Bombyx mori: one gene and its partners. Each later gene encodes a partner of the first gene's protein in a complex. Links are inferred from orthologs where the notes say so. Each region holds a gene or a part of one and is shown on either strand. Other genes may lie near its edges.

Region 1 (2,913 bases):
GGCCAAGGTCAGGGAGCAGATTGCGAAGAGACAGAAGACGCATCTGGAAGCGAACAAGGCGAGAGCTCTCACCAAGGAACAGAAGAGGGAGAAGGTAGGTTGGGAGGGGAGGGTCAGGTTGCGTTTCCGTTTGAAGGGCGGGGCAGCAACTGTACCCAACTAAGCAATAAAAAACAATAAGAAAAACGGTAAGGCTCTTCGGTAATAGCTTCATGGAAGAGCACAGGAGTAGTTTGGGTGCCAAGCACAGACCTCACACAATATATAATGTTGTCTAAAGGTGGCAACCCTCACACGTTGCCCGCGAGCTCATTTTAGACATCAGAGATAACTTTATATATTGTATTTACTTTATATGTTCACCGTGGTGCGTGAGGAATGTCAACCTTCACGATTGTCTAAATTTAGAATAGATCTTAAGGTAGCGTCAGAACGTTACTTCGACAAAGCGGCGCGACACGAAAACCCTCTTATCGTGGCTGCAGCTAATTACTTATCAGACCGCGACAGGGTAACGTAAAGCCTCCGTCGCCCGAATCGCCGCCGAATCCATATTATTAGGTCGCTGGTTCATCCGGCTCGAAGGACCAAAATATAGGGAGCGGTGTGAGTTTGTTATTGAAAGAATATGTTGCTTAAAAATTTTTATTGTTCAAATATTAAGTAAATCAAAGAAATGTTAACTATAATGTTATGAATGCACCCGGGTGACGCGGCTGTTGATCGTGCACTAACGATTTGTGGAATTAAAGTTAACGTGTCACGCGAATTATGCTGACAAAGGTGTTCGGTAATATATCACCGAACAACATGTCTTGCCGGATCCCCCAGGATTCCCTTTCGGTGCTTTAAGGCTAACTAGGCTTTTAGGCGAACTAACCCATAGACACAGCGACTGAGTTTCGCGCCGGATCTTTTCAGTGGGTCGCGTTTCCGATCCAGTGGTAGATTCAGAGAAGCACTGCTCTTACCAGGGCCAGTGCTAGCAAATTGTCTTAGGTTGAGTCCATGAGCTCACCTACCAGTCACGGCATGGCCCCTTAAGATATTAGCGAATAGGTAGGCAGCGGCTTGGCTCTGCCCCTGGCATTGCTGAAGTCCATGGGCGACGGTAACCACTCACCATCAGGTGGGCCGTGTACTCGTCTGCCTACAATGGCAATAAAAAAAAGGTAGGGAAAACAGATAACACTTCAGAGATATATATATTAATACATTGCTTAAAAGATAATTTCCCGCAATGTCCAAGATATCACTTCACATCACTTGTTCGTGTGATTTAAAAGAGATACAGATCGTTCAGTGCCGTCGGGCAGCGTCTTTATGTCGCTGTCCCCGGGCCCCAGGGTGGTCGGTCTGATCTCGTGGAACTCCTCAGGTTGACCGCAAGCTGCAGGAAGACACGTCGGCCGGCGTCCACGTGGCCGTGTACAGGTGAGTGCTTAGCGCCCCGGTGTTTTTAATTGAACTTTGTTTTTTTTTTTATTGCTTGGATGAGTGGACGAGCTCCCAGCCCACCTGGTGTTAAGTGGTTACCGGAGCCCATGGACATCTATAACGTAAATGCCGCCGCCCACCTTGAGATATAAGCTCTTAGGTCTCAGTATAGTTACAACGGCTGCCCCGGCCTTCAAACCGAAACGCATTACGGCTTCACGGCAGAAATAGGCGGGGCGATGGTATTGAAACTTTAAATGGTTCTGCTGTAAATTTGTAAAAATGTTGCTTAAACCAAAAAATTGTCTTTTTCACCCCTCGATATAAATTTGTAGTTTGTGAATCACGGATAAAGGTTAAAGTTAAAGTATCGCGCGCCCACACGGCAGGTACCGTCATTCTGCGTATTTCTGTCGCAACTCCGTCACGCGTGTTGGAGTCAGAACCTTCAGACACTTGTATGGTACAATTGAGGCTTCTTCCTCAATGTCCCGAGCTGGTTGGTCGCATTTGGAGAGCATTGGTAACGCCTCTCCAGACCATTACCGGCGGTAGGACGTCTTGTGGGTCCGCGCGGGTAGGCACCACCACCCCGCCTATTTCTGCCGTAAAGCCGTAATGCGTTTCGGTTTGAAGGGCGGGGCAGCCGTTGTAACTATACTGAGACCTTAGAACTCATATCTCAAGGTGGGTGGCGGCATTTACGTTGTCTATGGGCTCCAGTAACCACATAACGCCAGGCGGGCCGTGAGGTCGTCCACCCATCGAAGAAATAAAAAAAAACGCATAGAGTCACAGTCAAATCAGAAATAAGGAGATTCGCAGGAAAACCATGGTAACCGACATAGCCCAAAGGATTGCGACGTTGAAGTGGCAGTGGGCAGGACACATTGCTCGTAGAACAGATGGCCGTTGGGGCCAAAAAGTTGTTGAGTGGCGACCGCTTACCGGAAGACGCAGCGTGGTTAGGCCTCCCACAAGATGTACCGACGATCTTTGGAGGTTCGCGGGGATCCGCTGGATGCAGACAGCGCAGGACCGGTCTTTGTGGCGAGGCTTGGGGGAGGCCTATATCCAGCAGTGGGGGAGGCCTATGTCCAGCATTGGGGGAGGCCTATATCCAGCATTGGGGGAGGCCTATGTCCAGCATTGAGGGAGGCTTATGTCCAACAGCGGACGTCTGTGGGCTGATAAGAAGAAGAAGAAGAAGAGTCACAGCGTCGTTGCTGAAGCGGTACCTTGTTGATAGGATCCGTGATCTGTTCGAGTGCGCGTCGGCCAAGTTCAAGGTCGAGGTGAACGCCCAGCAGCTGCACATGAGCGGCTGCGTGCTGCTGCACCGGGGCTGCTGCGTGGTCGTGGCCGAGGGGGGCCCCCGCCAGCACGCCAAGTACAAGCGGCAAGTACCACTCGGGGGGGTCACTAGCCCACTGAGTTTCTCGCCGGATCTTCTCATTGGGTCGCGTTTCCGATCCG
Region 2 (4,200 bases), on another chromosome or scaffold:
TGGTGGCCAGACATTAATTTGACACAGCGTTCTGTTGGTGCAAACGGTCTAACGTCCCAAATACGGAGTGTATTATCCATTGAATTGGACAGGAGATATGCACCATCCCATGACAATGATAATCCTGGAAACGAGTATTGCAACACAAGTTAGACATTGCCAGTCATTAAATGTATCAAACTCATATGATTTCTATTCACATATTTATTGCCGCACCTGGGTAGATGACTTCACGATCTACAAGTAAACTAAACAAGTAGTCTTAGTCATGAATTATTACTACTTATAAGGCTAGAGACATTCTAATAATAGCTGTTACATTTCTCTAAAATTACCTAATACCAGTTTGGGCTACCGAAGGCAGAATGGGTGAAGAAGTTTACAATACACCCGTCAACAAGTAACAACAGGGATTATAAAGAGAAATACATATGTATGCAACTACTACTACTGTACTGCATACCAATCAATCCATTCTCATTTCCTCATAAGATCAATATTTGTTAAATACATTGTATGGTAATCAGTATTTTAGTAGTTAACTAATAGACTGAAGTCATTACTGTCATCATATTGCCCTCACTCCACTCTAGATAAACTGTATCAATATTTTAATTTAATTTCTGGTTGCAGTATTATCACCTAATAAAAATCTAATTAATCAGAATCAATAAAGAATTACCAACCTGTAACCGTGTCTGTATGTCCTTTTATTTTCAAGGAAATCTGATTATTCCTTATATCCCACATTTTGATGACATTGTCCACACCGCTGGATAAAATTTTTTCAGCTGTATCATTGAAGAGTACACTTGTGACTGGATATGAACTGTCAAACGATGCAACTGGATTCCTTTTCCTTGCATCCCATAATTTTATGGTGTTATCATCTGAAGCTGAAACTAAGAGTTCTGGACCTCTTCTTGCTCCTGGATATAGAGATAACACGAGAAAGTTAGAATAGATTGTTACGTTGTCTAAACCAATTTTTTAATGGATGCCATGAATGAATTTACAGTTCTATTGTATCCACAGGCATTGAGATTTTAGATTGATGTTATCTGGTTTCAAACCATGGTTACGGATTATAGTTTCAATTTTAGGTCAATCCCACTTTATTTGGATCCAATCACTTTAAGGCTCTGAGAGTGCAAAGTAATGTTTAATTAAGTTACTGTTGTGTATTTGTACTACTAAAAAGCACTAGCATGAAAACCATTGTGTGTCAAAACTCAAACTATGAAACATACCTGAAACAGAGTTCACAAAGTTAGCGTGACCCTTTAACTTCTTGATTCTAGTCCCGGTGGGTACGTCCCATACTGCTACAGTATTGTCCGTAGCTCCAGTGTACAAATGTGAACCATCAGGTGAGAAGCAAAGCTGCATTATTGCTCCCGTGTGACCTTTCATCACCATCACATTCTCGCATTGACCATACACATTCCATATTACTGTGAAAATAAGAAATCAAAAATCATAATATTACTAAGTTGGACTTGTACAGCTTATAAGTTGTCAACATGACCCTGACATTGGTGGAAATTTTCAATGGTATAAACATTTATTTTGTATTTTTTTATATTAATGGTGGCTTAAGCTAAACAGTTTATATCAGCTATCATTTTGAGTATTGTATCATATTGTTCCCTACATTATAGGGCTCGTGTCACTAAAACCCCAGTACAGTGTGGCCCATGCCTGGGATATTGGTACTGGCAGTCATTCTTAATAATGCATATTAAATCAAACTGAAATGGATTTGGACTTCAGAGAAAATTTAAGACGCTGTAATATAATGTCTATGGTCTCCAATAATCACTTATACACTAGGTCAGATTTTACCTTGTTCACTCTTTTCAATTAAATTTAAAACCTACCTACTGTAATCTTATAATTTGTGTTATCAAATGTGTCAATTCTTCATTAACGTTTTGATAGTAGTATATTATTAGAGTGTGAATTTTAGAAACACTTTGCCAATTCAAAAGCTTTGTCATGATTTTGTTACTTACATATTTGTCTGTCAAAGCCTGCAGAAGCCAAATGTTTGCCTTCAGGATGAAATTTGCCTGTGAAAATTTCTCCTTGGTGTCCTTCCAACAACATAATTGGCGCATACAAGTTTGATGTTCGTGGAACCTAGAACGACAAGAATATAAAATACAAAACACAGGAATCTTGGAATCTTGTTGATCACTACAAATGTTGAAAAATAAATCTTAAAGTAAAAGCCGACTAAAATTCGTATTACCTTAAATTTTAACAAATATCAATCATGATTACCTAAGTACAGATTGTGTTTTTCTAAAAGTTTATTTTAGATGTTATGTTCCATTTCTAATAATTATAATTATGATCTCTTGATGCTTTCACCGTGGCGTTAGAGTTCTTAGCTTTTATAGACCGTACTATTGAGAAAATAAGTAAACTTTATTGAAAACAATACTCACAGATGAAGTAACAACTGCCTTTTCTCTGGTGCCGACTACTGAGATCTCATGCCGTACTCGCTTGGAGGGTACAAGAGACACATCCTCTGCTTTTCTTTTAGTTTCTATATCTGGCATTTTTTAAGATGTTTATTTACCTATTTGTTTTTATAGCTACAAACAGAAATACTAACCTTAAAAATGGTATAAGGACTGTTTAGCTTGTTTCATTTGTCAATTGTATAGGCAAAAGGAAAATAGCCAATATCGCCAAATTCTTTGTAACAAAAGACAAAGCTACCTTCTAAAAAGTTTTTTTTTTGTATACCTATTCAGATGAGAAGATGAGATAATGAGTCATTCAAAATGAAGAACTTAAAGTGTTTACTAGAGCCCATAGTCATCTACAATGTAAATGCCGCCATGCACCTTGAGATTTGAATTCTAATGTCCCAGTTTTTAAAGTACAATGGTTTTTTTTCGGGCCCGGGGCCGATCCTTCTAAGAGGTCCCCGCGCCTAAGAGGGCGTGAGATATGTGGAACTTTACGATCTGCAGGTTTTGGGAGCAGACCGCGGGCCCAAGGAGTTTTAGGGCCCTACCGCACTAAACGACTCCCTTGCACATTTACACCCAACGTCCGATCTCCGTCCGGGCTCAGAATCCGGACAATGTAGGGGGGGTTCCCGCGGTCAACACTATAACCAGACACGCGGCGCCCCTCCGAGGACCCCTGACCGACGGGTCGTCGAGACGGTAGTCGATGACCAATGACGCTGGTCTCCGCGGTACGGTGGCCCTACCTGGCCGCCCGGGCGATGCCGCTGGTGTTCTGGGATACTCTGCTTGGCCAAAACCAGCCTGATGGGTCAGAACGCGATACACCTCCGACCGCGTTGCTCTTCCACAGTATGTTCGGCGACGATAGTGACGACGACAATGCGGACCGCATTGCAGGCCGTAGTCGCTGACGTGTTGTCCCGTCCTCCTTGTGCCAGCGCGCTAGAGTGATGGTAGGTAGCGTGCGGCGCAGCCTCAACCCCCTCAGGTGAGGGAGTTGGCCCGGGGGAGGCCCCGTGACCATCACCGGGAGGAGACTGCCTCCTCAAAAATTCAATGGTTGTCCCAGCCTTCGAAATGAAACGTATTACTGCTTTATGGCAGAAATAGGCAGGGTGGTGCTACCTATCCGTGCAAACTCACAAGACGTCCTACCATCAGTAATTATGCAAATTATAATTTTGCGGGCTTTGTTCTTACTACACGATGTTATTCCTTTACCGTGGAAGTCAGTTTAGTTGATATGTACGTATTTCATTAGAAAAATTGGCACTTGCCTGCGCAATTCGAACATCGTTACATCGCTACATACGAATGCACCAAACGTCATATCCTTTAGGTCACGACGGCTATAAATCATTTGTTTAAGTTACAATTTTTTCACGTGTAGCCCCGATCGCTTTGTTTGTGTAATGAACTTTTAAAAGAGACGAGAACGCATTTTTTTTTTTTTATTGCTTAGATTGGTGGACGAGCTCACAGCCCACCTGATGTTAAGTGGTTACCGGAGCCCATAGACATCCACAACGTAAATGCGCCACCCACCTTGAGATACAAGTTCTAAGGTCTCAAGTATAGTAACGACGGCTGCCCCACCCTTCAAACCGAAACGCATTACTGCTTCACGACAGAAATAGGCAGGGCGGTGGTACCCACCCGCGCGGACTCACAAGAGGTCCTACCACCAGTAATTACAATTATAATTTTG
Region 3 (2,758 bases), on another chromosome or scaffold:
CTCTATCTGTATCAAGTTTCAAGGATCATCATTAAAATATTGCTTTTACACTGTTTTTTTTTACTCTGTTTTTTACCATTTCATTAATGGGTATTGCCATATTATACAATAGTATTATTACTTTAAGCGTTTTTTGTAAATAAATGATTTCAGTATACTTTGATTTTTTTTATATATTGACACGAATTGAATAGTGTGAAAACCAATTAAAGATATAAAACAAAAAAATGTATTTTCTTAAAATATCAAGAAATAATAAAGTTGTATCCCATTTTAGATTTAACAGAGATATGGGTAGCTTAAATATTTTATATTAATGGATTGATGAATTCATAACTACCTGTGCATCTGCAGTTTCCAAATTATTTAGATATTATTGATTTTCAATGAATTCTACATCAGGATTATGACTAATAAATAATCTTGGATTTGGTCAAATATATGGTTGCTTTGCACCAGCATGTATGGAGGAATTTTGAACTTTAAATGAAACAAAACTATTCCTTAGCCAAATAACTTAATTTATTAAAAAACTTATCTTACATTTTATTTTTATTTTTGTTCTGTGGTCGCGGGTTCCCGCCGCCACGGGCTAGTGGAGGTGCTCTGCCGCGGTTACCGAATGCGCCTCGGCTACCACCACGGCCACCGGTCCTCATGTTTTGCCCGCGTCCCTTGGAAACCTCGTTACGACCGCGCGCTTTAACCTGTGTCTCCTCCTTCACCATGTCGATGACCTCGTCCGGTATTCTCAAGTATTTGATCGTACTACCACGTATATAACATTCCGGCATCCTCCAGAACTTGTCGCCGTCTCTCGACGTGCAAATAACTTCACGTAAATTAATGTTCATCCAATTATCGCAGCTTACGAGATGACCATTGTAAGTTTCGCCATTTTTCAATTCGACAAGCATAGGGTGGTTCTGCGCTGTCCGTAACAAAGATAGCGGCAACATTTTGATGTAATGATCAACTTCGTTTTGAAGTTTATTATTTATTTGTATTAGAAGTTTATTTTCCTACTTTCGCGTTGTTTGGTGTATTGTCAACTTCTTGTTTTTTTAGGTTACTTTAGGACTTTAGGTTGACACTGACAGTGCTCAGTTGTCAGAAGACGCACAGATAATACACTTAATATTTGAGAAGAAGTGAAAATTGCTTCAATGGTAATGTAATGAAGTTTGTGAACAAGAATTTACAAGTAGACGAGTCCAACTGGAGAGTTAAGGGACAGTTCTAGTAGTAGTGAATCTTGTGATGATGATGAATAATAATAAAACAATTTACGTTGCACACCATTGTATTAGTAATAAATAATTAGAAATCTCATTCCTGGTTTCAATTTATTCTAAAGGTGAACCCGTCTACAAAAATTGCATTCAATAGGATAAATGATGAAAAAAAAGAACGTATCGAAACTGGTGTTGAAGGGTTTTGTTGCTGAACTTAATAGTTAAATGTAATGTAACTTTTTTTGTTTTAATTTGACCATACAGCTTACTGTCCATGCAACTATCAATTTCTAGTTCCATGAGAATAAATCTATGTTCGATAATCCAAAGTCAATGACTTTAGCATCCTTACTGTGAGCTGTCAAAATTATCATAAATTTTTACTTTTTGGCGGGAACGCGGGGAGTGAAGTTGTGTGATTTGTTTTATTTTGTCTATTTATTGTTTCTTCAGGTTTAACTGTATAATATCTGTGAAAGTGCACAAGTGTGGGAAATTGAAACAAATCCGCTAGACGTAGCTTGTTGGGATCGTCCAAAGAGCCAATTGAAAAGTCTTAGTAAATGTCCACCATTTTACTGAGATTATATTTCATCCTACATCATCTCATCTCATTTCATTTAATTTCATCTCACTTCATTTCATCTTCATTTCATTTCACTCTATATTATCATTTTTCGTAAAAATAAGAATTAAATAAATTAAAATAAGATTTGACCTAAAAGTTTTAGTTACTAGGTCATAAAATCCCTTAGAAAATATCCTAAATTTGAAAAAAAAAACAGAGTTCAATGCCTTTAATTTGTCGGTCAGCTGTCAATTGTCAATCCTGTGAAAAAAAATGTTTTCAATTGTTAGCCGGTCGGTAGAATAATTTTCATATTCACACGAAAATCAATTAAATAGGTAAAAAGATAATAAGTTCAAGCCCTTCAGTGAGAAATTAGGAATAGATTTCTTGTTTTGAGTCTAACGTAAGTTTGAAACTATTTCTGTACAATTATAATATTCCAAGGAGACCTCGTGTTCCAAATTTTAGTTTTTCTCTTTATTAATTAGTTAAGTTTATTAATTCTTGATTTAATTACGGTTAAAAATCGGTTACGGTTTTTGAAAATCAGATTCTTAATCGCTTATTACGATCAATTAGTTTAGTATATTTGATAAATAATACATTACCCAGTACCTACATTTTTTGAGTTTACACTTACACCTGTAAGCGTTACTTTTGTATCTTCAAATCTGGTCATCAGAGCGAGAAAAAGTATAATGGTAAAATACTATGACGTGATATTCAATAAAATAATTAAAATACCCAGAAAAATATTAAAACTGTACTTGCAGTTCAACAGTTGTAAAGATGTTTACTTCATAATAACATTGTCCATAATTAACAGAGTTACTCGTCATGCCCCAAGCACGTCGGAAGACCCCGTTCAGCGGGAAGGCCAAAAAACAACAACTGCAGTCTAAGAAGCAGAACAAGGTTTTACTCATGCCTAGTACGTATTATCACATATTCG
Region 4 (4,281 bases), on another chromosome or scaffold:
AATTTGATCTATATCGTTTTTACTATAACCACGTTTTGGCTTGAGATACGCTTTGTGGGACAGGGGATATATATACATGTATTCCCTATTTCCCATGAAATTTTCACTAAATATTCATTGGCCTAGTGAATTATCCTGTAAAATTTAGTAGCAATAATATCAAAGTCAAATCATAGATCAGCCAGCAAAACGGTCCAAGTTTGACTGGTGGTTTAATAAAAATATTGGTATTTTACATGAACACCTTCTGCAGTTGATTTGAAATTCCGCTTTAACTAAGCTAAAATTACGGTTAATAATCTTCAAAAGTAAAATAACCTCTCCTGTCGATATCTTTCCAAGTCTTCTTTAAGTCTTTTTTCTCTATACTCCTTCCTCTTCTCATCCATCCTCTTGTCAATGGACTCATAGATTGCATCTGCCTCTGCATCGTCTTTGTCATAAGGATCCTAATAATAAAGTTTACATTGTTTAATATTATGATCTACACTTAAGTAAACAATACAAGGTGTATTGGAATAATCTCAGAAAGTGAAGAATTAGCAAATATTGTAGGATTTGTTTGTTTAATCCTTTTGCTGAACATCCATGGATAAAAAATCATTAAATTTATGGTGGTTTTGTCTTGGATGGTGTTACAGCAACTGAAAACCCAGACTGTGATTCAATTTCCAACAGTAGCCTGCTAACATGTGTGGACTTTACCTTAATATTGTTTTTCTATAGTAGAATTTTTTGGTGGAATCTGTTAACATGTTCATTGCTAATAGAGCACAAAATTTTCATGAAAGAACTACATTTGTGAATGTACAAAATATATTTTCAGTGACATCTTATAGCCTAACGCCTAATAAGTAAATAATAGCACCGCAACAACATTCTTATAGTCACTCGATCAGTTACTATATAAAACATTCTAAAGCTGATTTCTCTAAATCTCAAGGTTTTCTTTAAATATTTCATCTTTCTTCAATTGCCTGATTTCAGGGCCGTATCAAATCAATTAAATTTCCTTGAGATAGTGGATATGGCTCATTAGATTAGGAATCTTCTCGAAAGTTTTCATTGCTTTTAGCATAGCAGACAGATCATAGCTTTGGGGTGGTCATGGTACAGTTCTACACCATGAGGGATCCATCTTTTAGCATATTGCTTAATTTTAGAATACTTTTAGGATACATAGTTCGACTTTTTGGTTTTAATTAATATTTTCTGCACAAGTAAGACAAAAATAACAATAAAATAAGTGGTTCATTGGTTCCGTCCAAATCATTGGAATTTCAAAAGTCATAGATTGAGATCTTCTCATACATATAACACAATAGATGTGTCTTATTGTCCTTGCTTTGTCTTATTGTCAGATGGAAAAGCCACAATACTGTTGATGTAGTTTAGTTACTAATGGTGTCAAATTTCTATACAAAGTTTTAAAAGTTATGTAACAAAAGTTACAAATGTAAGAAAACTGGTCAGGATATTTTTTACACTTTCTTTACATTATTTAAGAATTAATTAACTCAGAAAAGTAAATACTATACTCTTAGCATATTTTTTTTTACTGTTATATTGTAATCTTAATACAACAAGTTTGTACTATGGTTCTGCCTTACAAAACAACAAGTTCAAGTTAAGATTGCATAGCATGATGCAAAACATACACAGCATGTCTCAGGGAGGTCATACTGGTATCTAAAGTTTTGTCAAATCCTTATGTCGAGGCTCACATCAGTTCAACTGTCTAAACTAGTTAAATAAAATACCTTAGAAAACAGAGATCCACTATATCCTGAGAACTCATCATAGTTAGAATCATTTAAGTCTTCATCATCATCTTCGTCTTCTGTTTTCTTACGTTTTGCAGCTGGTGGTGCATGACGATCATCACTAAAATAGGAAAATAAATATAAAAAGGCAATATATTTTTCATTTATAACAAATTAAATTTATTCTTACAACTTTGAAGCAATATCATGTCAAAATTAAGTTTGAAGTCACAGCAGCTTAAAAGATAAAACGCCCTGTGTGTTTGTATCAAAAGCTGCGACTATGCCGGTAATTGAATCCCACAGATGCCTGTGCCATTAATTTTTCTAATGAGCGTATTTAACTCATATTCATGAATGACTTCCACAACATGTAACAAAAATAAAACTAGCAAAAATTATAATTTTTATAAATACTGGTAGTAGGGAATCTTTAAAGCCACCACTGTGCTGTCTAAGCAATAAAAAACAAAAACACAGGAAGGTCGAATGTTCTTCAATTTACCTTTTTTGTCAATAGAAAGGATACATACGTTTTTTTTTTCTCCTAAACTTTGTCTTTAATACCGAGTAAATATCATAAGATCTTCATTCATAAGATTGAGAGAAGATTCATAAGTTCTTCTATCAGGCTTCATCTTTTGATGTTGATAAGTTCTATTAAATATTATTAAATATATTTTTTTAAATACTTACGACACATCGTTAGCGTCTCTTGCAGGACCAATATCAGATCGAGTCGTGAAACCAGTAGCTCTGAAATAATTATTAATACAATTATATTTGAGCTTGAATACACTTGTTTATTTTATATTTGAAGATACGCACCCTCTTCCTACACCAGCGACATAACCTAGCGGTGCGGGAATGCCTAAGAAATGCTTTTTGTTTTTGTTTACAAATGCTTGTGGTGGTACAGACATTTTTAAGGAAAATATGAAGTTAAGGTTTTTTTAGAAAACACTATTTTTGCAAAAATAGCCTTTTCTTAAATTTTACGAAAAGCTAACTTATGACATATTGTTAAGACTGTCATTGTCAAAAATTTTCAAAAACTGGAAAGGCAAAAGTAACATAGCATACACGCTTATCGTTTTTTGTGGGTGTGTGAGTGAAAGTGAAATGAAATTAAGTTGATTGATTGGGAACATTATTGGAATTTGGCATAAGTTTTAAAACATGCGCCTGTTTGACGACTTACTCTATTTAGATTATGTGCGGCCAATATTTTCTGTACTAGCTGGTATAACAAGCCTAACATGGCTTAGTTGTAATATCATAGTTTAAAAACTCAGAGCCAGGGCCAATCAGGCAATTATAGTAAAAATTAGAGTCCGTCCGTTGCTAAGCAACTGAAATTGGTTTGATAGTTTGATTGAAAATAGGACTTCAGGGAAGGTTAGCTTATTTTCTGTTGCCAGTGAGTTTTATTTACCAGTGAGTAATACAGTACGCTGATAAGATTGAGAAAATTGTAAATTAAGAGATATCAATTTACAATGGCGAAGAGTTTAATGGCACAAAATCAAGACCTACCATCGAACGATAATAGTTTGTCTACAAGAGAATTTTTACATATCGAAAAGACTTGTGAAGCTTTTAAAGATAGTGACGAAGAAATTAAAATGATACTTAGTGAAATTAATAAGCTATCTGGTGGGAAAACTGAAGAAAAACTATTAGAAGGTGACGTGGACGACGTAGAGTTAATTTTAAAAAGAGCGGAAGATATAGCCTTGGAGACGGAAAATCTTCTGAAAAATAGCCCAGTTGCCGCTAAAATTCATAAACTAACACCGGAGAAAAGTGAACCGTCAGCAATACCAGAAATACTGGTAACCAAACCAACTGAAAATAGTCAAGAAATAGGAAAACCATCACAAAATAAGGTAAATGTAGTTAGTAACCTAAACTTTGAAAATAAGTTAGGGTTACTAGGTTAAAATAGCATTGTTCTGTAATGTCTGTGCATTAATTCCAAGAAAAGCAAATAAGCTAATTTGAACTAACAGTAATGCTAGTTCATGGCATACAGCCGTTCGATGCTAAATAAGATAATATCCCTTTTATCTATATATATAAAAATGAATTGCTGTTCGTTAGTCTTGTTAAAATTCGAGAACGGCTGGACCGATTTGGCTAATTTTGGTCTTGAATTATTTGTGGAAGTCCAGAGATGGTTTAAAAGGTAGATAAATATAAAAATGCTCGGAATTAAATAAAAATTACAATATTAATTAAAAAAAACAAATTTTACTTTGATGTGTCCCCCGTCGCGTCGGACGGATTCCTTTTGTTTGTTTTAAGTTTATTTTATACAAAAAAATAGGTCTTTTATTTATCGATTGAGGCACTACAAAGTCTGCCGGGTCAGCTAGTTAAAAATAAAATAATTTCCATTTTTGTGTTCAGGTTTATTACCATAGCGACAATTAAAGACAATTAAAAAAAACAAATACATTTGTGAAAGTAGAATTTATTAAGATATAATATAAATATGCACATAATTAATTAATTA
Region 5 (3,077 bases), on another chromosome or scaffold:
TCCTATCAATGAAAGCTACACTTCAAATGTTACGCTAGTCAAACCACATTTGGTAAAAGCAGAGTGTTCTGATGGAAGACTCTTCCACCATATGTTGACCCTTTGGAGATTCAGTCCTGGTCTAAAAAGAGAACAGCAGTCGTGTGTTGTGGACTTCCAGATAACATTCGAATTTAGATCAGCTATACATTCACATTTATCTAATTTGTTTTTTGACCAAGTTGCTCGACAAATGGAAGGTGCTTTCATTAAAGAAGTCGGAAGGCGCAATGGGCCGGCAACAATGCAGCCTAGAAAGTTACTAATAAACAATCACACTTTGAAAACTTGACGCTTACTAATTGCAAACCAAAAAAATTAGTTCAATTCAGTGTACATAATTATTGAGTATTTATTGTGATTACTTTATGTAAAAATTTGTGAATATTATATTTTATCTATTAGTCTGTTAGAAATGTGAGGCAGAGCCATTGTGATTTAATGATAATAAAAAGATAAAATTTAAAGTGAAGTTTTATTTACATTTGTCCACATTGAGATATTGTTACTGGTATTTTAGGTTTATTATTTGGTCCTGTTGGTACATTTTCTATTTTCCTCATGACAAGTAATCCATCTATAACTCTACCAAATACTACATGCTTATTGTCTAAGAAATTACATTTTGCACATGTGATAAAGAACTGACAGCCATTCGTGTCTTTACCACTATTTGCCATGGACAATAACCCTGGAGAGTCATGTTTCAAACCAAAGTTTTCATCTGCAAAAGTGCTTCCACCATATATGCTCATAACGCCTGTACCGTCTCCCTAAAATGAATAGTAAATATTAATAAACTTCCATCATGTTCAGTTAGGCATCGTTTTATCATAAACAAAACTTAATACGTACATTTACGAAATCGCCACCCTGAATCATAAAATCTTTTATTACTCTGTGAAAAGTAGCTCCTTTGTAACCTAAGGGCACACCATCCCGCCTGTATTCACCGGTACAAAATTCTCTGAAGTTCTCACTAGTTTTTGGTACTACGTCGGCGAATAACTCGAATATCATACGACCTATTTCCTAAAATAAACATAAATATTTTATAAACATAAATTTTTGTGTGTTCTTTTAAATCTAATAAAAAACAATAAGTTCGGGGAGGTATTTACCGTTGTTCCTACAGTAATGTCGAAAAACACTACTGGATTGTTAGGATTCCTAAGTTGTGACTGTATTTGGTTCCAAGTAGGCATTTCAATGTGTTAATATTGAAATTTTTACTAAAACAACATTACATTTGTGTTAACAATTTAAAACTTCTATAAGTTTTAGTTTGTTTGATGTTTATTGTTACCCGGCTGTCAAATTTTGAGGTTATACTTTTGACATCCTTTCCTTGACATTAGGTAGCTTACAAGCCTATTTGTCCAGATCTAAAAACGGAATTTCTGGTGACTTCAAAGGACAAAACTTCACGTTTAGCGAATTTGTTACATTTTAAGATTATAGCAGTTTCTTCTATTTCGGCGAATCGTAGATAATAATAAAACTATCCTAACCGTTTAATTTCAATTATTTCTAACGCTTAGAATAACTACATAAAGTATTCGTGATCACAGACGACTATGGTATTATTCGTCAACAATTGTATATTGGGCGGGACTTTTTTTCGGGGAAGGACAAAGTCGTGTAAATTATTGTATTTCGTAAATTGTGCGTTTCTTCAGATTTGAACGCCATACCTATCTTATAAGTTTTAATGGAACCTTATTTATTATCTAACAAATACCTACGGTGATGTCTTTCTTAATTCACTTCCTTAAATTTTATCCCATGAGCAATTAATTTAATTCCATTATTCCCCTTACCTAACATACATTTAAATTTATATATATTATATTTATATTTATTTAAAGGTTACAGTTTTGTGACAAGAGTATTGAAATTTGTATGGTCTATCTCCTTTTGCCCGTCCAATGAACAAATTATAGATAATACAATAAAGAATGAATTTCAAACAATCAATCAAAGACTGGGCCAGGCCATAAATAAAATACAAAAAAATTCTAATCAAAGACTGGGAAGTGGGAACAGCAATTGAATTAAAGAGAGGTAAACTATTTTTTATAAATAAAACTCTTTTACGAGTTTTTATTAAATATGGAAAGTAATGACCTACCTATTGATTATTATCAAATACTAGATTGCGATAGAACAGCAAGCCTTGAAGAATTGAAGAAAAGTTATCAGCGACTCGCTTTGACATTACATCCCGATAAAAATAAAACTGATGATTCTGATAATAAGTTTCGCCTATTACAAAAAGCTTGGTCAGTTTTAAGAGAACCTAGCACCAGGAAACAGTATGATGCTACATTAAGTTGCCATGAAAATAGTGATCTATTGCTTTATGAAACAGTAAGACTGTCTGAAATGGTGTTTGACAGTGATGAAAATGTGTATTTATACGATTGTAGATGTGGTGGGGTGTATGTGCTTAATAAAAGTAATTTTGTGCAATCTAGTGTAATAATTGGATGTGATGAATGTTCATTTTCGATTCAAGTGAATAGATAAAAAAGTATACATATTATTGCAGTTTTATTTATTTATTGTTTTATGTTTGGCTGATATTAAGTTTTCATCGGAACGAATACTTACAAAGTGAATGCCAACAACCACCACAGTGTAACTTAAAACTTTGGGTCGGTTTCATTTCGTTTACTTTTTTATGTTAATTAATCTAGATTTCAAAAAAACTTAGTTACTTTATGTAATCATTTTAATTATGTCTGATTATGAAATATTTGAAATTTAAAGTATAAAGTTTAATTATATAAATATAGTATTATAATAAATAGAGTATAAATATTGCAAAGTTCCAAAATATACATCTATATAGTTATCAGTATAGTTTAAAATACAGACATACAATAATCTCCTTCTGATTCTAATATTTAGTCATTCATTTTTTCCAAGTCCAATTCCTAACCATTTATTATTATTATTATAATTTTCGGGCGGGGGCCGAACCTCCTACGAGGTCCCGTGCCTAGGGGGCGCACGGGGTATGTGGGACTTGACGA
Region 6 (4,237 bases), on another chromosome or scaffold:
CTACAAATCATTTATTAATAAAGCTTATTAAATATAAACAATTCCTTCTATCAGTGAATGGACAACTTATATATTAATTGTAAAAGTGAATTATATAGACTTACTTAATTACCGCATCCACGTGTTCCGCAACTCCCGGATCATTCTCACTAGAATACGTAACTTCCATATTTTACTGTATTCAACTGACACAAATTTATATTTATATCCAGTAAACTCCAGTCGTGCGTCGGAGCGGACACACACACTTTTTTTTTCTACCTACGCTGAGAGCCTTGAGAGGCTATTTCAGCGTAACCCTAACTTTTGTAGTTGAGCTCGCGGGGCTCAAACCTGATGACGTTGCTAACACGAACCCTAGCAAGACCCGTGCTTCGCAGAATCTACCACCGGATCGGAAACGCGACCCACTGAGAAGATCCGGCGAGAAACTCAGTGGGCTGTGTCTGAGAGTTAATTTACTCGTCGAGCCCTTCGTCGCAAGCGACGGGTTCGACGAGAACGGTGACCGGTACTTGAAGTACCTAGAAGCACCGTTAGTGGATCGGGAGGATCCGAGATGACGTGTTTTGGGCGACGTCGACTGCTTTCCATTCTGTCCGCAGGATCGGGAATGTAGTTACCGGCGGCCACGATGAGAGGGTTCTCGTGTCGTGCCGCTTTATCGAAGTGGCGCATCGACGCCGACTGTAGATACTTACTGATGGACTCTAAGTCCAGGTCGTCATGGAGGTCGACGTTCCTGACGAACCACGGGGCTCCGACGGCTATCCTGCAAAAACGGGATTGAATAATGTGGAACGATTTTAAGTGAGTGCGGGCCGCGTGAGCGAACACTACACTTGCATAGGTCATGACGGGGCGTATGCAAATTTTGTAGAGTGTCACCTTATTTCTAAGGGACATTTTACTTCGCCTACATATCATCGGGTAGAGACGTCCTAGAATGAAGGCGGCACGGTCGCGTACCGTCTTGATGTGAGGGCGGAATGTCATCCTACTGTCGAGGGTGACGCCTAAATATTTGACCTTCGGGGCCCACGGTATGGGCTGGTCGAACATCGTGATTGGGCGAATGGCGGGGGCGGAGGTGTTGACGCGCCTAGTCGGGAGGGGGATGCTCAGCGTGGTGTTCGGAGGGCGACCCCTTTTGAAGAGCACCGCTGTGCTTTTCGTGGGGTTGATGTCGATTCTAGTGACGACTGCCGGCGCAGCGGCTGCGCAGTGTCTGCGCCAGCCGAACCTACGTCTCGGGGGGAGGTGGGAACTATTGTTGTCACCTCAGCGGTACAATCGATAAAATAACTGCTTTGAACATAAATACTTTTGTTTTAAGGTTTTTTTTATTTTCTTTTTTTATTTTGCAGACGATTTCAGTTGTAACATTACGTTACAACACCCGCACGCTAAGCGGAACCCTAAAGTGTCGAACAACGCCGTGCGACCGACGCCGCGACGCCTCGCAGGATTCGTAAAAATACGGAGGGTCGATAAAGAAAAATTGAATAACGCGCACGCGCCGCGCCGGTCGCTGCACAAAATTATTAATTTTATTTAATTTAAATCCTATAACCTATATCCTATACCTATATAATTTAATTTAAATACCTTGTTGTACCTATAAGAGTTGTAACGATAAAATATATGATTAACATTAAAGCCTCAAATAAATAAACTTCACCTCATTTCATCCATATCATTATTAACTTCATATTAAATTGATATAAATAACAGAATAATTCCATGAAAGATTACGCTGTATGGACTGATACCTCCGCCTTTCTTGTTGGAAAATGGAACTGCTACTGTCATACGTCATACTGTGGTCTGTGATTTTTTTTAAGGTATTTTATGACCTGGTAAAAGTCAGTGTTTGTAAATTTACTCATAGAATAGTCATATCTTAATACCTACATATTATTAAATAATTATAAATTTAAAGTTCTCTATTTCACAGAACATTCTTTTTGTTATGAAGTAACAAAAAAGACAACGCCTGCTCTAAACTTTTTGAACACACTTCTATAGAAAACGTGAACAGTGACGAGAAACAAAATGTGAGAATAAAATAACTTTGGAATGTCTTAGATGTGAAAGGCAAATTTCAGTGAGCAAAATAATATCAATATTTGTTCAGTGGTCCTACAACACGATTATATTTTGCTCATAGCAATAGCAATTTCCAGAAAAAAGAATACAGGAATAATCGTTTGTTTGAAATAATACGTAAAGTAGTTTATTTGCAAAATGAGTTATATGCTAGGACATCTACACAATGGTTGGCAAGTAGATCAGGCCATTCTATCAGAAGAAGACCGTGTAGTGGTGAGTTTTAACTAGATTCATAGAATGTAGAAATCTGAGATTTAGTATCTGAAGACTAAAAATAATAATTATATTCTAACCTTACATCAATAGGTATTTGTTAAAGTATATAAATGCAGTAGAAACCAAGACCTTCAACCTTCTAGTATAAAAAACAATAGATTTTGAATTAAAGGAACTAACAAAATGCTTTGAGCCAAAACAGTTAATAGTTATTTAATTAGTGGCCTAATTGTCTTGCCCTATGATTCAACTATATTAAATGTAATTAATTCTAATTTACATATCTAGGTTATAAGGTTTGGACACGACTGGGACCCAACATGTATGAAAATGGATGAAGTATTATACAGCATTGCGGAAAAAGTAAAAAATTTTGCTGTCATATATTTAGTTGACATTACAGAAGTTCCAGATTTTAATAAAATGTAAGTATACCGTAAAACTACTTGTTCTAAATTTATTTCTGAAATTAAGATTTTGATAGGTTTTCTTAAAACCTTTGTGGAATACACAAGTCCTCCTACCTCCAGTGTTTTAAGGAAATTATGTTGTATTATTAAATTTGTTGTTTTATTAATTATTAAAAAAGTATCATAAGTGAAGAAGCAAAGAACTATGAGTTTTCTAGGAATTCTTAATAAGTCTGGTTCATACAGTAAATGAATTTCATTATCTACATTGTTAATAATTTTTTTCAAATTGTTGATTTTAAGACTAGAGTAGAACAGCAGTTCTTGATCACTGGAATGTTGCAAGTCAAGTGTGTTGTGAAAATTAGAAATACGATATTTCAATTTTTATTTAAGGTGATCTGGGAAATTGCATCTCAGGGATACATGTTGGTTAAATATACAATTGTTTATTAAATATTAACCATACAACAGTATTACATATGAGTGATGTAAATACCAACAACCATCACTCCCAACTATAAATCTTTGCATTTAAGGGTGTCATGTATATATAGAGTATGTTAATACATCATTAAGTAAAAAAGGTTGAAAGTTCTAGTCTAGTAGAAAGGGTCTAGTATATAAAATGACTAAGCAAGGCCTATAATAATATTATTTAAACTTATTTCTAGGTATGAATTATACGATCCATGCACAGTGATGTTCTTCTTCCGCAACAAACACATAATGATTGACTTGGGGACTGGCAACAACAATAAAATCAACTGGCCTCTCGAAGACAAGCAGGAGATGATTGATATTATTGAAACTGTGTACAGAGGGGCAAGAAAAGGACGAGGTCTTGTTGTCTCACCGAAAGATTACTCTACCAAATACAGATATTAGTTTAATTTAAAATAATGTTCCACCTGAATGGTCTAGTAATTTGTAATCATATCTGACATCATAGTCATCATAAATTTAGTAATGTAACTTTTTTTATATAAAAATAAGAACTATACATATTACATTATAACTCATGTGTTTTTGGAATTATGCTGTTCTTCCTGATATTAAACAAAGTAAAAGTAGAATAAATGACAAGTTTTATGCTGATGTAGATCCTTTTTTTTGTGTTGCAATATCTTCATCATTGAAAAAAAAAAAAACCATTATCAAAAATACTTTATTTTTATTTTTTATTGCTTAGATGTGTGGACGAGCTCACAGCCCACCTGGTGTTAAGTGGTTACTGGAGGTCATAGACATCTACGACGTAAATGCGCCACACACCTTGAGATATAGTTCTAAGGTCTCAGTATAGTCACAACGCCTGCCCCACCCTTCAAACCGAAACGCATTACTGCTTCACGGCAGAAATAGGCGGGGCGGTAGTACCTACCCGTGCGGACTCACAAGAGGTCCTACCACCAGTAAAATACCAGTAAAAGACCGATAAACGGTCGTGCCAAGGCCAAGAGGGACGAGAAGCCCTAAACACGTCATTTCGGATCCTC

What was found.
Region 2: U4/U6 small nuclear ribonucleoprotein Prp3 (region 1) and U5 small nuclear ribonucleoprotein 40 kDa protein share a complex: the UniProt entries of both Homo sapiens proteins name them as parts of the U4/U6-U5 tri-snRNP complex. The link is inferred for Bombyx mori from reciprocal best matches to the Homo sapiens genes PRPF3 and SNRNP40.
Region 3: U4/U6 small nuclear ribonucleoprotein Prp3 (region 1) and U6 snRNA-associated Sm-like protein LSm4 share a complex: the UniProt entries of both Homo sapiens proteins name them as parts of the precatalytic spliceosome. The link is inferred for Bombyx mori from reciprocal best matches to the Homo sapiens genes PRPF3 and LSM4.
Region 4: U4/U6 small nuclear ribonucleoprotein Prp3 (region 1) and pre-mRNA-processing factor 6 share a complex: the UniProt entries of both Homo sapiens proteins name them as parts of the U4/U6-U5 tri-snRNP complex. The link is inferred for Bombyx mori from reciprocal best matches to the Homo sapiens genes PRPF3 and PRPF6.
Region 5: U4/U6 small nuclear ribonucleoprotein Prp3 (region 1) and peptidyl-prolyl cis-trans isomerase H share a complex: the UniProt entries of both Homo sapiens proteins name them as parts of the U4/U6-U5 tri-snRNP complex. The link is inferred for Bombyx mori from reciprocal best matches to the Homo sapiens genes PRPF3 and PPIH.
Region 6: U4/U6 small nuclear ribonucleoprotein Prp3 (region 1) and thioredoxin-like protein 4A share a complex: the UniProt entries of both Homo sapiens proteins name them as parts of the precatalytic spliceosome. The link is inferred for Bombyx mori from reciprocal best matches to the Homo sapiens genes PRPF3 and TXNL4A.

Annotation. Positions count from the first base shown.
Region 1 is NC_085130.1:18,563,303-18,566,215, forward strand, and holds part of U4/U6 small nuclear ribonucleoprotein Prp3, read left to right. Parts: coding exon 1-94; intron 95-1,378; coding exon 1,379-1,434; intron 1,435-2,686; coding exon 2,687-2,836; intron 2,837-2,913. UniProt on the Homo sapiens protein: Plays a role in pre-mRNA splicing as component of the U4/U6-U5 tri-snRNP complex that is involved in spliceosome assembly, and as component of the precatalytic spliceosome (spliceosome B complex).
Region 2 is NC_085109.1:1,114,831-1,119,030, reverse strand, and holds the start of U5 small nuclear ribonucleoprotein 40 kDa protein, read right to left. Parts: upstream 2,801-4,200; 5' UTR 2,571-2,800; coding exon 2,454-2,570; intron 2,143-2,453; coding exon 2,016-2,142; intron 1,455-2,015; coding exon 1,251-1,454; intron 930-1,250; coding exon 687-929; exon of another isoform or gene 125-686; coding exon 1-124. UniProt on the Homo sapiens protein: Required for pre-mRNA splicing as component of the activated spliceosome. Component of the U5 small nuclear ribonucleoprotein (snRNP) complex and the U4/U6-U5 tri-snRNP complex, building blocks of the spliceosome.
Region 3 is NC_085117.1:3,992,036-3,994,793, reverse strand, and holds U6 snRNA-associated Sm-like protein LSm4, read right to left. Parts: upstream 1,327-2,758; 5' UTR 960-1,326; coding exon 540-959; 3' UTR 501-539; downstream 1-500. Other genes in the region: guanine nucleotide-binding protein-like 1, read left to right, coding at 2,644-2,737. UniProt on the Homo sapiens protein: Plays a role in pre-mRNA splicing as component of the U4/U6-U5 tri-snRNP complex that is involved in spliceosome assembly, and as component of the precatalytic spliceosome (spliceosome B complex).
Region 4 is NC_085109.1:9,935,192-9,939,472, reverse strand, and holds the start of pre-mRNA-processing factor 6, read right to left. Parts: upstream 2,801-4,281; 5' UTR 2,687-2,800; coding exon 2,592-2,686; intron 2,520-2,591; coding exon 2,460-2,519; intron 1,885-2,459; coding exon 1,761-1,884; intron 450-1,760; coding exon 319-449; intron 1-318. Other genes in the region: centrosomal protein of 162 kDa, read left to right, coding at 3,263-3,652. UniProt on the Homo sapiens protein: Involved in pre-mRNA splicing as component of the U4/U6-U5 tri-snRNP complex, one of the building blocks of the spliceosome.
Region 5 is NC_085116.1:6,471,981-6,475,057, reverse strand, and holds peptidyl-prolyl cis-trans isomerase H, read right to left. Parts: upstream 1,585-3,077; 5' UTR 1,245-1,584; coding exon 1,161-1,244; intron 1,072-1,160; coding exon 895-1,071; intron 813-894; coding exon 519-812; 3' UTR 501-518; downstream 1-500. Other genes in the region: coenzyme Q-binding protein COQ10 homolog A, mitochondrial, read left to right, coding at 1-331. UniProt on the Homo sapiens protein: PPIase that catalyzes the cis-trans isomerization of proline imidic peptide bonds in oligopeptides and may therefore assist protein folding. Participates in pre-mRNA splicing.
Region 6 is NC_085120.1:13,294,256-13,298,492, reverse strand, and holds thioredoxin-like protein 4A, read left to right. Parts: upstream 1-1,437; 5' UTR 1,438-2,247; coding exon 2,248-2,325; intron 2,326-2,616; coding exon 2,617-2,753; intron 2,754-3,412; coding exon 3,413-3,626; 3' UTR 3,627-3,836; downstream 3,837-4,237. UniProt on the Homo sapiens protein: Plays a role in pre-mRNA splicing as component of the U5 snRNP and U4/U6-U5 tri-snRNP complexes that are involved in spliceosome assembly, and as component of the precatalytic spliceosome (spliceosome B complex).